3 linked regions of the Macaca mulatta genome follow. The protein of the gene in region 1 purifies or fractionates together with the protein of each later gene. This does not show direct contact. Links are inferred from orthologs where the notes say so. Each region holds a gene or a part of one and is shown in the gene's direction. Other genes may lie near its edges.

What was found. The genes of interacting proteins can lie anywhere in the genome.
Region 2: the proteins of EEF1A2 (region 1) and EEF1B2 purify together in Homo sapiens (co-immunoprecipitation; 4 studies listed by BioGRID and IntAct, counting the BioPlex papers as one, with this or other methods). This does not show direct contact. The link is inferred for Macaca mulatta from reciprocal best matches to the Homo sapiens genes EEF1A2 and EEF1B2.
Region 3: the proteins of EEF1A2 (region 1) and VARS1 purify together in Homo sapiens (co-immunoprecipitation; 3 studies listed by BioGRID and IntAct, counting the BioPlex papers as one, with this or other methods). This does not show direct contact. The link is inferred for Macaca mulatta from reciprocal best matches to the Homo sapiens genes EEF1A2 and VARS1.

What each region holds. Positions count from the first base shown.
Region 1 is NC_133415.1:116,360,600-116,364,686, reverse strand, and holds the start of EEF1A2 (elongation factor 1-alpha 2), read left to right. Parts: upstream 1-1,287; 5' UTR 1,288-1,313; intron 1,314-1,691; coding exon of another isoform or gene 1,692-1,877; exon of another isoform or gene 1,878-1,892; intron 1,893-2,573; exon of another isoform or gene 2,574-2,645; 5' UTR 2,646-2,646; coding exon 2,647-2,790; intron 2,791-4,087. Other genes in the region: PPDPF (pancreatic progenitor cell differentiation and proliferation factor), read right to left, coding at 1,692-1,877. UniProt on the Homo sapiens protein: Translation elongation factor that catalyzes the GTP-dependent binding of aminoacyl-tRNA (aa-tRNA) to the A-site of ribosomes during the elongation phase of protein synthesis.
Region 2 is NC_133417.1:111,412,082-111,416,221, forward strand, and holds the start of EEF1B2 (elongation factor 1-beta), read left to right. Parts: upstream 1-1,340; 5' UTR 1,341-1,665; coding exon 1,666-1,745; intron 1,746-2,265; coding exon 2,266-2,388; intron 2,389-3,024; coding exon 3,025-3,151; intron 3,152-3,554; exon of another isoform or gene 3,555-3,633; intron 3,634-3,713; coding exon 3,714-3,780; intron 3,781-3,906; exon of another isoform or gene 3,907-4,036; intron 4,037-4,140. UniProt on the Homo sapiens protein: Catalytic subunit of the guanine nucleotide exchange factor (GEF) (eEF1B subcomplex) of the eukaryotic elongation factor 1 complex (eEF1).
Region 3 is NC_133409.1:150,522,938-150,527,030, forward strand, and holds the start of VARS1 (valine--tRNA ligase), read left to right. Parts: upstream 1-1,293; 5' UTR 1,294-1,500; intron 1,501-1,795; 5' UTR 1,796-1,828; coding exon 1,829-2,215; exon of another isoform or gene 2,216-2,281; intron 2,282-3,850; exon of another isoform or gene 3,851-3,908; coding exon of another isoform or gene 3,909-3,956; coding exon 3,957-4,091; intron 4,092-4,093. UniProt on the Homo sapiens protein: Catalyzes the attachment of valine to tRNA(Val).

The sequences.
Region 1 (4,087 bases):
CCTCACACCTGCCAGGGGGCCTGGTAGGGGTCCAGTCTCTGGGGATCCCCATGGCTTTACCCAGTGGCAGGTGCTGGGCCCGACCCAGGCCCTCCATGTCAACACTCAGTGGGCACTCAGGGCTGACGGGACAGGTGCCAGGGCTCTGCCCCCACTCAGCACACACCCCCCGAGACCCTGCTGGCAGGAAGATCCGAGTAGGGGGGGCAGCGTGGGAGGGAAGATGTGAATACCCGGGTGAGACCACAGGATCTTGGGGTCTGGGAGGAAGCCCCTGACCTTGGTCTTCACACAACACATGGCCGCCACATCCCCTTCCTCACATCCCACGTTGGTCATTACCCGCGGGTGCCCAGGACCTCAGGGACTCCCCACTTCCTACAGAGCGTGGCCCGGTCTTTGGCTTGGCATCCTGACCCCATATGAGGACAGCCGCAAGGCGCTGAGGTGCAGCGGGGTGGGCGCTGGGCGGGGGCCTGGGTCTGTCTGGATCTGACTCGCCCTTGGCTGGCGCTGTTTCCCAGCAGCAGCCGGCAGTAGGCGCCCCCGGAGGGCAGGGTCCCTGGAAGATGTCAGTGGGTCTGGGAGCGGGCTTCCGGCGTTCCCTGCACCGTGGGACCAGCCTCTCCGGGGAGGGTGGTTCTGCGCCGGATCCTGGGGGCCTGTCATGGTGCGCCCAGGAGGGCAGGCACGTGAGGACAGGGGCTGGAAACCAGCAGATTCCGGGGTTCCACCCTGAGACCTGCACCCTCTGGCCTCACTAGGGAGAGCCCCTCAGAGCCGGGCTTCGGGGGTTCTTGGGCGTCCCTCATGAGCAGCCGGGGAGGGGCCGGTAGACCCAGGCTCGTCTCCCAGGCTGCAGCGCAGCTGTTCCCCTCCCCCGCCTGCCGGCTCCGGTCCTCGGCGTCTGCCCCGTCCCCGGGGACCGCTTTTCGCGGCTGAAGCGTGTTCCTGCCCCGAGCCGGCTCTCGCCCCGTCTCCCGGGTCCGCCGCGCTCTCCCAGCGCGGTCTCCATCCCCGTCCCTCCCTCCCGCCGCCTCCCCGCCCTGCCCCCCGCCCCGCCCCCGCCCGCTGCGCGTTTCTCTCCCGCCTCCCGCGTCCGTCTTTGCAGCCCGCGCCTCCCGCATCCCCTCGCGTCCCCGTGGCGCCCGCCCGCGCGCGTCCGCGCCCCGCCCCCTCCCGCGCGGTTCCGCATTGGCGTGCTGCAGGGCGCGGTGCACTGCGCCGCCACCGTCAATAGGTGGACCCCCTCCCGGAGATAAAACCGCCGGCGCCGGCGCCGCCAGTCCCTCTGGCTGAGACCTCGGCTCCGGGTAAGGACGCTCGGCCCCCGGGCCTCCGCCCCCGTCCCCGTCTTCCGAAGAGGGACCCCCGGGGCCGGTCCCGCGGGGCAGAGGGCGGCCGGGCCCGGCACCCACACCCGCCCCCGCGCGCGCCCGGATTCCGGCTCCCGGGGGTCCCCGCGTCGGCCGGGCTGGGCCGGGGGTGGGGGGCGGCGCGGGGCGGCGCGGGGCGGCGGGGCCGGGTCCTGGGCGGCGATCTCCCCGTAGCCATGACCTTGGGGCCGCGGGGACCCTGCGGGCTGGGGGCAGCGTCTTCAGTGCCAGGGGCTGATGGGGGTCGGGCTTCGGGGCGCTGGGCCAGAGGACGCTGAGGGAGGTGGTGAGATCTGGGGGCCCTGGCCTCCCCACCCCCACCCGTGTTCCCACCCCGGGGTGGCTTCTATCCTCTTTGCCTCCCCCAGCCGCCTGTCCCCGAGGAGCAGTGTGGGTTTCTCCACTGACCTCTGTGATGGGACGGGGCTGTGACCCAGGGCCCTGACCGGAGGGGAGGGGGGAGGGAGGGTGCCCCCTATATCCCCACCGGGCCGAGGGCATCTCCACCTGGCACTTGCTGGGCTTGGCTGGACCGGGTCCTCCTTCCTCAGGCTGGAACAGGGACCCCCACCTCCTGGCCACTGTCTGTCCCTGTGAGAGTCTGGGGGGGTGGCACGTAGAGCTATTCTGGGTCCCTAATCTGGGCAGCGCATCTCCGTCGGGGCTCTGGCCCAGCCTGCCGGGCAGGGATGAGGGGAAGATGGCGCCGTCCCTGCCTGAGGAGGGGAGTGGGGAGCAGTGGCCATCTCTCCCGGTGGCAGCGGGTGGGGGTGGGGCGCTGTGTCCCTGGCCCTGCTGCCGGGGAGGGGAGCGAGCGTGGAGGACAGGGCCCTGGAGCACTGGGCAGGTGACTCATCACCCTGCTTTGCTGGTCACGGACGTACCTAGCCTGGCACTGCGTGGTCCTTCCAAATGGTGGCTAACCCCTTCCCAAGGAGCGGCCCTGCAGGCTCCCAACGCCCAGTTATTTACAGCAGATGGGGCTGCTTGGGCTCAAGTGTGGGGTGGCGGCAGTGTACAGCCTCTACTTGCCCTGGCCAGGCCCAGCTGTGGGTGGGGGCCCTTCCCTCCCCACCAAACATGGGGGCTTGGTTTGTGGGCAGAGATGTGTGCCCAGCCTGTGCCAGGACAGTCTCTGCTGGTCTCTCCCCCCTGGGCTCCCCATCACCTGTCTCCCCCCCACTGCTGGCACCACAGAATCACTGCAGCCCCCCCCTCGCCCCGAGCCAGAGCACCCCGGGTCCCGCCAGCCCCTCACACTCCCAGCAGAATGGGCAAGGAGAAGACCCACATCAACATCGTGGTCATTGGCCATGTGGACTCTGGCAAGTCCACCACCACGGGCCACCTCATCTACAAGTGCGGGGGCATCGACAAAAGGACCATCGAGAAGTTCGAGAAGGAGGCAGCTGAGGTGAGCTCCGGGGGCTCTGGTCTTGGCCCCCTGAGAAGGAACCCCCAACTCCTGTGGTGGCCAGGCTTGGCATCTCCCAGCCCCAGGACATGTGGTTCAGGAGACCTCCAGGGCAGGAGGGACCCCTGCTGTGGGGCACTCAGGCCTCAGAGGGTCCAGTGGGGCAGCCTCTCTTGCAGAGAGCTTGGTGGGGGAGGGGTGGCCATCGAGCTGCCGGACTTGCCCTGTGGTGAGGGAGGTGACCTGGGAGGGTCCACAGAAGGCTCTGGAACTCTGCCACATTGAGCTGGGGCTGGAGGGCCCTACAGCCTTGCCCCCTTCCCCCCAGGGCCAAGGCTGGGGCTGGAGGTGGTGCTGCCCTCACTTGTCCCAGGGCCCTGCCAGGACGCACGCTGCTATTAATAGCTGATTGATGGGCAGCCGGCCCGTCTGCTCCATTTTCTTGTGCTGGGCTGTGGAGGGCTGCTGTCCAGTGCACCCCTGGGGTGGGGGTCCTGGATGAGGCGGCCCTCTGGCTGACCTTTTGAAGCGGTTCCTCTTTGGTGGCTGAGACAGTGGTGGGGAGCGGCCATGAGTCAGGGTCTGCTCTCTGGTCCCCCTCCCTTGCCCAGGGCTCTGGGGAGAAGCCCACTTCTGGGAGGGCCTGTGGGAGCTCTCACCTGGATGATGAAGGTGGAGGCCAGGGCCTGGGGAGGGGGGCACTCGCTGTCCTGGGCTGAGTCTCTGCCCTGGTGAGGTGGGTGCTCTGAGCTGCACCCCTGAGTTTGGGCTGCATCACCCTTTACCTAGCCTCGTCGGGAGAAGGCGGGGGTTTCAGAGGGCCGCTGGTTCAGGCCCCAGCTGGGTCCCGTCTGGGTCCCCTCCAGGCTGGGCAGCCTCTTGGAGGGCAAGAGTCCAGTCTGTGCAAGGCCCTGGTGGGGAGCTATGCCCAGCTGGGTAGTGACCATCGCTGTTGCCCTGACTGCAGCCCGTCCCCTCCTGTGGGGGTCTCACTGGCTGAGGCCCCCCAGCTTCCCGTGACCGGCAGAGCGAGGAAGGGGAGGAGAAGCCTCAGGGGGGTGGGGAGGCTGGAGCATCGGGAAGGATCGGTGCAGCCAGGGCCTCCTCCTGACCTCATTCCGTTTTCCCTTCTCCTCACCTTAAAATAAAATAACACCGAGGGTTATTTATCTGACAGCCCCAAACACGGTGGTATTATTGGCCTCTGGCTGAGGAAGGGATCTGGGGGCGTCCGCAGCTTCAGATAAAGGGGAGCCCTGGCGGGGGAGGGGTTTATCCCATCTGGCGGCTTCGCTGG
Region 2 (4,140 bases), on another chromosome or scaffold:
CACAGCCCCTCCCCTCTTGACACTGGCAGTGACCTCGGACTGAAATGTTCTTCCCTGGCCCCTCCTTATCCTTCAAATCTTGGCTTCGAAGCCTTTTCTCAGTTTCATTGACCAGCCTATCTAACATTTCCTGACGATTCCCCAGAATATCACCCATTTTATTCTTCTTTACGGACTCATTTCTGGCTCGTAGTAAACGTTCAGTAACTGTTAAGTGAACTGAATCTCTAATTTCTGGTCGTTAATTTGTAGGGACCACTTTCCCGGATTTAAAAAGTGCAGGTGCTCTGGCAGCGTTAAGTCGGTGAAAACAAGACTATTCCGCAAAACAAAAATAACCTGTTTATTCATCAAAAAGTTATTGTTACACTTCTATACTGTCAATTCGTGTGTGAAGTTGTGTCTGATCCAAGACCTCACAGTACAAGCATAGATCCCAATAACTTGTAAACAATATTTTGTTATTCGCAATGCAACCCTGAGCTAACTTTTCAAAAAGTCATTTTTCTCAATTTCCCGTTAGTGAAAGGAATTTAAAAATTCTGTCCAACGTGGTCAATGGACAAAACAAATAAGGACAACAGAAGCGTGAGCCACTGCTAACACAACAGCGACCAAACAATCATGTACTGTACCAGGCGTGTAAAAATCTGGGGGAAAAGGCTCAGTCTTAAGGCTTAAGTCATCGGACACTGGTCCTCTACCGGGGAATAAAACGGCCTCCTCTGAGAGGGGAATGTCCTGAATTTTCCCTGCAGAGGGAAGGTCACCTACAAGCCCGCATTCGGGCCAGCGCTCCCGAGGGCCCCCTAATCCTCATCTTCCTTTCTGCTCCATCAGACCAGAGACCGTGGCTAAAAGCCCCACTTGCCGGCTCTCAGAGGCTTCCGAGGCGGCGGGGCGGGAGGCGGCTCCCAGTCAAGGACAAGAGAAGACTAAGTCGCGTGGGCCAAAGGAAACAGTCCCGTCAATAAATAAGCCTCTGACCCATGCACCTCACCCTTCCCATCCATACAAGACCTCACCTTCTCCCCGGAGCCGCGGAGGCTGTTCTGCTAAACTGTCTGGACCACAACTACCCCCTTGGAGGCCGGGTCGCTTACTCAATATGGCGGCCTCAGCTAACTCTGTCAGCCGGGCCTGGAGAACGGAAAGCCCGGAGGGACTAGAATCCTTGCATTCGATAAGTTTGTCGGCAATTTCCGTCAGCCGACCAGAGGGCGGAGCTGAGGTCGGCCCAGCCCGGAGGCGGGAAGGACAACTTGGACCCGCAGTTCCGCCGGAAGTGGCCGGCAGCCTCGAGGCCGAGCGTCTTCGGTCATCTCCGGCGCTTCTAGGGGCGGTTCCCGTCATCTTCGGGAGCCGTGGAGGTATGAACTTAAGACATGCCCATTTTATTAATTTATTTCCAAACGCAACGAAAGATCCAGGGACAATTTGTGAGCCGTTTAATTCAGGGCCCCCAATTCGTACGTGGAGAAGTGGGAATGCTAACGTACTTTGACCTTTAACCTTCGGTCCGGCGTGGTGGAGGGAAACGCCTCCGTCTCTATATAAGGAATTTTCCGGCTTCTCCGGGCCCTTTTTCCTCTCTTAAGCGCGGGGAGCCCACAACTTGTGCGCTCTCTTTCTGCTGTTTCCCAGCTCTCGGATACAGCCGACACCATGGGTTTCGGAGACCTGAAAAGCCCCGCCGGCCTCCAGGTGCTCAACGATTACCTGGCGGACAAGAGCTACATCGAGGGGTGAGCGGACCGGCTGAGTCGGGGTGGTGGAGGGGTTTCTGGGACCGGGGCCGGGGCCACGTGGCGCAGCGTGTCGGCTGCCGCTGGAGGGAGGGAGACGGGGCCCCAGGGCCCTTTCGAGGATGACGGGAAAGCGCCCCGTGGCCATCTCCCAAGGCCCTCGTGTGGTGCGAGCCCGGCCTCCGGGGAGCGGCTCACGAGCAAAGGAAGGTTAAAATGTGCTTTATTTACACTTAATTCAGCCAGGTGTTTCCACATCGCTGCCCAGTTAATACATGTTAGGTTGTAGATAGAGCAACGTTAGAGATTGCAGTATTTGAGGTCTGCAGACATTTCTCAGGATAGCGCGGTGACCCAAACATATGGTTTGATTTTAAGGAGATAATAAGAAAAGAAAAGCATTAAAGCAACCCTACTGGAGTTAGTGCCCACTAATTAATGTGATGCATAGGCACTGATTATTTATTCGCTGGCGTTTGTTTTTCAAAGGTGTGTGTGAATGTCTCTGTGTCATTGGCAGGTATGTGCCATCACAAGCAGATGTGGCAGTATTTGAAGCCGTGTCCGGGCCACCGCCTGCTGACTTGTGTCATGCCCTACGTTGGTATAATCACATCAAGTCCTACGAAAAGGAAAAGGCCAGGTAAAATCATCTTTGTATCTAGCTGAAGAATAAGACTACTCTCGAAGCTTTATCAGGATGTTCACATGACAAAACTAGACCCAGGCTACTTTAGTTTTGTTGGGGTATTGTAAGCTAAATTTTTCTGTAACCTGAGAAGGCCAAGAGACTGAAGCCCTCCATTTTTTCACAGAACAGGTAGAACATGGACAGCAGCAATTCAACTTTTCCCCACACTGCCCTGCCAATGTGCCTCGACCTTGACCTGGGGGGCCCACCTCTGGGGTGAGAGGGTGGCTCATTCATTCAGTCCTTGGCCATTCTTCTGAAACTGCCAACAAGGGTGGAAGTTTGGGGAAGTGGACTCCAGTTCACTAAGAATGGAACTGAGCATACTTAATGAAATCTCAAACAGAAATGTTCATACTGAAAGAGTAAATCATAGTGAGTATTGAAAATAATGTCTCACATGGTACTAATGCTTGTCGGGTGAGGAGTTGAACATATGATAGTGTTTACCTGGGAGCATGTGAAAGGGTAAATTATTATTGCAAAAGGGATCTAGTGATAAGTAGTGATTAAAACAAGTTATTTTGTATTGTCTGGAAAAGTATGTTATACTAGCTCAATAGTGGTTGAATTTAAATGTTTTTCAAGCCTGCCAGGAGTGAAGAAAGCTTTGGGCAAGTATGGTCCTGCTGATGTGGAAGACACTACAGGAAGTGGAGCTACAGATAGTAAAGATGATGATGATATTGATCTCTTTGGATCTGATGATGAGGAGGTATGGCATCTTCTATAAAGAATATATCGGCCAGACACGGTGGCTCACGCCTGTAATCCCAGCATGTTGGGAGGCTGAGGCGGGTGAATCACGAGGTCAGGAGTTCAAGACCAGCCTGACCAAGATGGTGAAACCCTGTCTGTTCTAAAAATTTAAAAAAATGTGGCGGGTGTCTGTAATCCCAGCTACTCAGGAGGCTAAGGCAGAGAATTGCTTGAACCTGGGAGGCGGAGATTGCAGTAAGCCGAGATCATGCCACTGCACTCCAGCCTGGGCGACAGAGCAAGACTCCGTCTCAAAAAAAAAAAAGAATACATCGATCAGCAATTTTATCAATGTGGTTAAGCCAAATTGCCTGGATTTGAATCCTGGCTTTAACTTATATGCCTTTTTCAAATTCTGACTGGTTGCATGATGAATAAAATCAAATCACCATCTTTCGGCTGAGTTCGTGATGGATTTGCTTTTTTCTGATTAAGCCAGTCTTTTTTGTGATGACCCCACTAGCTTTAAGCAGATGACAACCGACTTTCTGAAGTGGATTAATTTTTTTTCTTTACAGGAAAGTGAAGAGGCTAAGAGGCTAAGAGAAGAACGTCTTGCACAATATGAATCAAAGAAAGCCAAAAGTAGGTCATTTGTTTTTAACTTCATTTCATGATAATGTAAGTAATCTTTTTCAAAGCTTGACCTTTAAGTAATTTCCTCCACATTCCTTGAACAGGTCAATATTTTAAAACCTCCTGTAGAAGTTCTTCCACAGCTACTGGTCTGCAGCTGTTCTTATGGTAGCAGTTGTGGCATTCCTCTGTGGGAAAGAAACTGTTAACACAAACACCTCTTTCTTAGCAAAACAGAAAGTGGGCATATGTGTGACAGACACAAGATGTATCTGTAGTTTTGTTTGGCTAAGGAGATAGTCAATCTCAAAACAAATTGAGGTGATTTGTTTGTGTCTTGGAGTAAGGTAAAAAAATACAGTTCATTAT
Region 3 (4,093 bases), on another chromosome or scaffold:
ATTTATATTTTGGAGAAAAGTTGTGACTGGGAATTACTAAACTTCATTCACTCATTCAGCAAAGAGTTCATGATAACAGATGAGACTTCTCAGCCTTAAGGGACCGTTAGAGACCATCTAGCATGACCCTCCTTTTCTTGTTTTTGAGATGGGAGTCTTGCTCTGTCGCCCAGGGTGGAGTGCACTGGTGTGGTCTGGCTCACTGCAACCTCCGCCTCCTGGTTCAAGTGATTCTCCTGCCTCAGCTCCGAGTAGCTGGGATTACAGATGCCCACCACCATGCCCGGCTAATATTTTTTTTTTTTTTTTTTTTTTTTTGAGATGGAGTCTCACTCTGTCACCCAGGCTGGAGTGCAGTGGTATGATCTTAGTTCACTGCAATCTCCGCTTCCAGGTTCAAGTGATTTTCTTGCCTCAGCCTCCCAAGTAGCTGGGATTACAGGTGTGTGCCACCACACCTGGCTAATTTTTGTATTTTTACAAATACTCCAGCTCTGTCTCCAAGCTGGAGTGCAGTGGCACCATCTTGGCTCATTGCAATCTCCACCTCCAGGGTTCAAGCAATTCCCTGCCTCAGGCTCCGGGGTAGCTGGGATTACAGGCGCCCGCCACCACGCCTGGCTAATTTTTGTATTTTTAGTAGAGATGGGGTTTCACCACCTTGGCCTGGCTGGTCTTGAACTCCTGACCTTGTGATCCACCCGCCTCGGCCTCCCAGAGTGCTGGGATTACAGGCATGAGACGGGCTTTCACCATCTTGGCCAGGCTGGTCTGGAACTTTTGACCTCAGGTGATCCGCCCGCCTTGGCCTCCCAAAGTCCTGGGATTGATTATAGGCGTGAGCCACCGCGCCCGGCCGTCACCCTTTTCTCATACATGAGGAGATGAGGCTCAAAGAGGAAGCTGGACGCCAGGGCCTCGGCAAATGGACCTCCCCTTCGGTCCTCATCAGGCTGCTCCCTCCTGGGCTCTTCCCCGATACCGGGTGGGGAACGCTCTCCACCTGCAGGGCCAGCTGACCCTCTTGGGCCAGTTCCCTAGCTGCCCGCTGGGCGCCGCCCTCGCCACCCGGCCCGAGGACCCGCGCAAGGTGCCCGTGGCGGCGCCTGACGGGAGCGCGGTGCCCGGGGGCGTCCTCTCGTCCTGCGTCCGCGCCCAGCGCCCCGCGCCCTGCGCTGTTCCTCGTGAGAGCGGCTGGCGGCTGGCGGCGGGCGGCGCGGCCCCCGGGGCAGTGTCGGACACGGTGGTGTGCGTACACGCAGGCGGGGCCAGGCCGCCCCCGCCAGGACCCGCAGGCCCGGAAACTCTCCCTGTCACAAAGGGGGGAACACGTGGGCGCCGGCTGCCGGGGCGGCGATCTCAGGGAACTAGGGTCACCTGGAGAGCCGCCCACCATCTCTGCCCGCTCGACTCCTCCGCCCCGGCCGCCCGGCCGGTCCAGCCGCGGCCGGCGCCTGGCTGTGAGGTGGATTCCCGGTCCAGTCTTACCATCTCCCTCCAGTACGTACACGCGGCTCGAACCCGCGTCCAACCAGACGCCGACCGGCTCCTGAGAGTCTTCCACACTCCCCGAAGCCTCGCGATCATGGATAGTCCCTCTTCCCCAGGAGCTCCCTACTGTCACTGCTCCTCTGAGAGCCAGGTCTTTGGCTCCTGACAGCCTGCCTGGTCAGACCCTCAGTCCTGGGGGACTCGGGTGTCTGCGGCGGAGGAGCTCCTGTGAGGGTCCCCTCTCTACTCAAATATAGGACCCACCTGGATCCCTCAGTCATCCCCTGTCTCTCTTTCTTCTTAGGTTTTTCTACTTCGTTCGGACCCTCTCATAACTATGTCCATCCTCTACGTCTCCCCTCACCCAGATGCCTTCCCCAGCCTCCGAGCCCTCATAGCCGCTCGCTATGGGGAGGCTGGGGAGGGTCCCGGATGGGGAGGAGCCCACCCCCGCATCTGTCTCCAGCCGCCCCCGACTAGCAGGACTCCCTTTCCCCCACCCCGCCTGCCGGCCCTGGAGCAGGGGCCCGGTGGACTCTGGGTGTGGGGGGCCACGGCTGTGTCCCAGTTGCTGTGGCCTGCAGGCCTGGGAGGCCCAGGGGGCAGCCGGGCTGCTGTCCTCGTCCAACAGTGGGTCAGTTACGCCGACACGGAGTTAATACCAGCTGCCTGTGGAGCAACGCTGCCGGCCCTGGGCCTCCGAAGCTCGGCCCAGGACCCCCAGGTGAGGGGGTTGTACAGAGGGGGAGGGGAGAAATTCAGAGGAGGGAAGCGAGGACTGGAATGGACAGTGAGACAAGAAGGTAGCACATCAGATGTGGGAAAAGAGTGATCAAATCCCAGATTGCCAACCGGTATGGTAACCCTGGGCACGCTTCATAAACCCGCTGTGTCTTGGTCGTCCTATGTCTATGAACACACAGGCAAGTTGATGTAATGCTTGCCTCACTGAGTTAATAGGATTAAAAGATGTGCGCAGAGCACATAGTTTAGTGCCGGGCACTTTTAAAGTCTCTTAGTAAAAGTTTGATGAGTCTGAAATTGATGAGGATAGAAATTATTTGAATTGCAGGAAAAGACTGGGTGAGGGAGAGATGACAATTGCTGGGAGGAGATAAAAGAGAAATGAAATGAGGAAGGGAAGTGAGAGGAGAGATAACCCTGCCAGATTGTAACTATCAGTCCTTCCAAAGGAGACCTGAGCCTTGGTGTACTTTCAACTCCACCTCCTTGCATGGTGTTGAGCACATGATAGGAAATTAGTATTTATTGAATGGATGAATGAATGCGACAGACCCTGACTTGCTCCCTCATGTTGTGATCACCCTATAGAGTCCTTACATTCAGAATGTCTGTCCAAACAAACAAATAAAATAGAGTTCCTCTCTCCTGGAATTCCCTGTTCCCCTCTTTTTTTTCTTTTCTTTTCTTTTTTTTTTTTTTTAGACTGAGTCTCCTTCTGTTGCCCAGGCTGGAATGCCGTGGTGCGATCTCAGCTCACTGCTCAAGTGATTCTCCTGCCTCAGCGTTCTGAGTAGCTGGGATTACAGGCGCTTGCCACCTCGCCTGGCTAATTTTTTGTGTTTTTAGTGGAGATGGGGTTTTGTCATGTTGACCAGGGTCTTGAACTCCTAACCTCAGATTGTCTGCTCGCCTCGGCCTCCCAAAATGCTGAGATTACAGGCGTGAGCCACGGCGCCCGGCCCCTGTTCCCCTCATTCTGCTTTATTTTTCTTCATAGGAGTTAAGAAAAATATGGCATGGGTTTTTTTTGTTTTTTTTTGTTGTTGTTGTTGAGACGGAGTCTCGCTCTGTTGCCCAGGCTGGAGTACAGTGGCATGATCTCAGCTCAATGCAAGCTCCATCTCCCGGGTTCACGCCATTCTCCTGCCTCAGCCTCCCTAGTAGCTGGGACTACAGGTGCCTGCCACCATGCCTGGCCGATTTTTTTGCATTTTTAGTAGAAGCAAGGTTTCTCCCTGTTAGCCAGGATGGTCTCGATCTCCTGACCTCATGATCCCCCCGCCTCAGCCTCCCAAAGTGCTGGGATTACAGGCGTGAGCCACCAGGCCCGGCCCGAGCACTGCATTTTATATTCGCTCATTTGTTGTTCCCCTACAAGAATGTTAACTCTACCAGGTCAGGGCTCTGTCTATCTGTTCGTGTTGTCCTCTCATTCTCTGGAGAAGTACTTAAATATTTATTGATGTCCTGAACCTGGCAGTTATTGAGTTGCCTCATATAATCTTTACTTCTATGCTTAACATATTGCATCTAACACATAAGTATTGAGTTTCATTTGCTGGATGAGTCAGAAGTATTTTTATTATGACTACTTGAGTGAAGAAATGGGACTCAGAGGTGGTGATTTGTTGGAGTGGGGTGGAGGGAGGCCAAAAGGAGGGTTGTGGTGGGAGATGGAGGCGGGCCAAACCTTGTCTCACACCTCTTCCCCTTCCTGCCAGGCTGTGCTGGGGGCCCTGGGCAGGGCCTTGAGCCCCTTGGAGGAGTGGCTTCGGCTGCACACCTACTTGGCCGGGGAGGCCCCTACTCTGGCTGACCTGGCGGCTGTCACAGCCTTGCTGCTGCCTTTCCGATACGT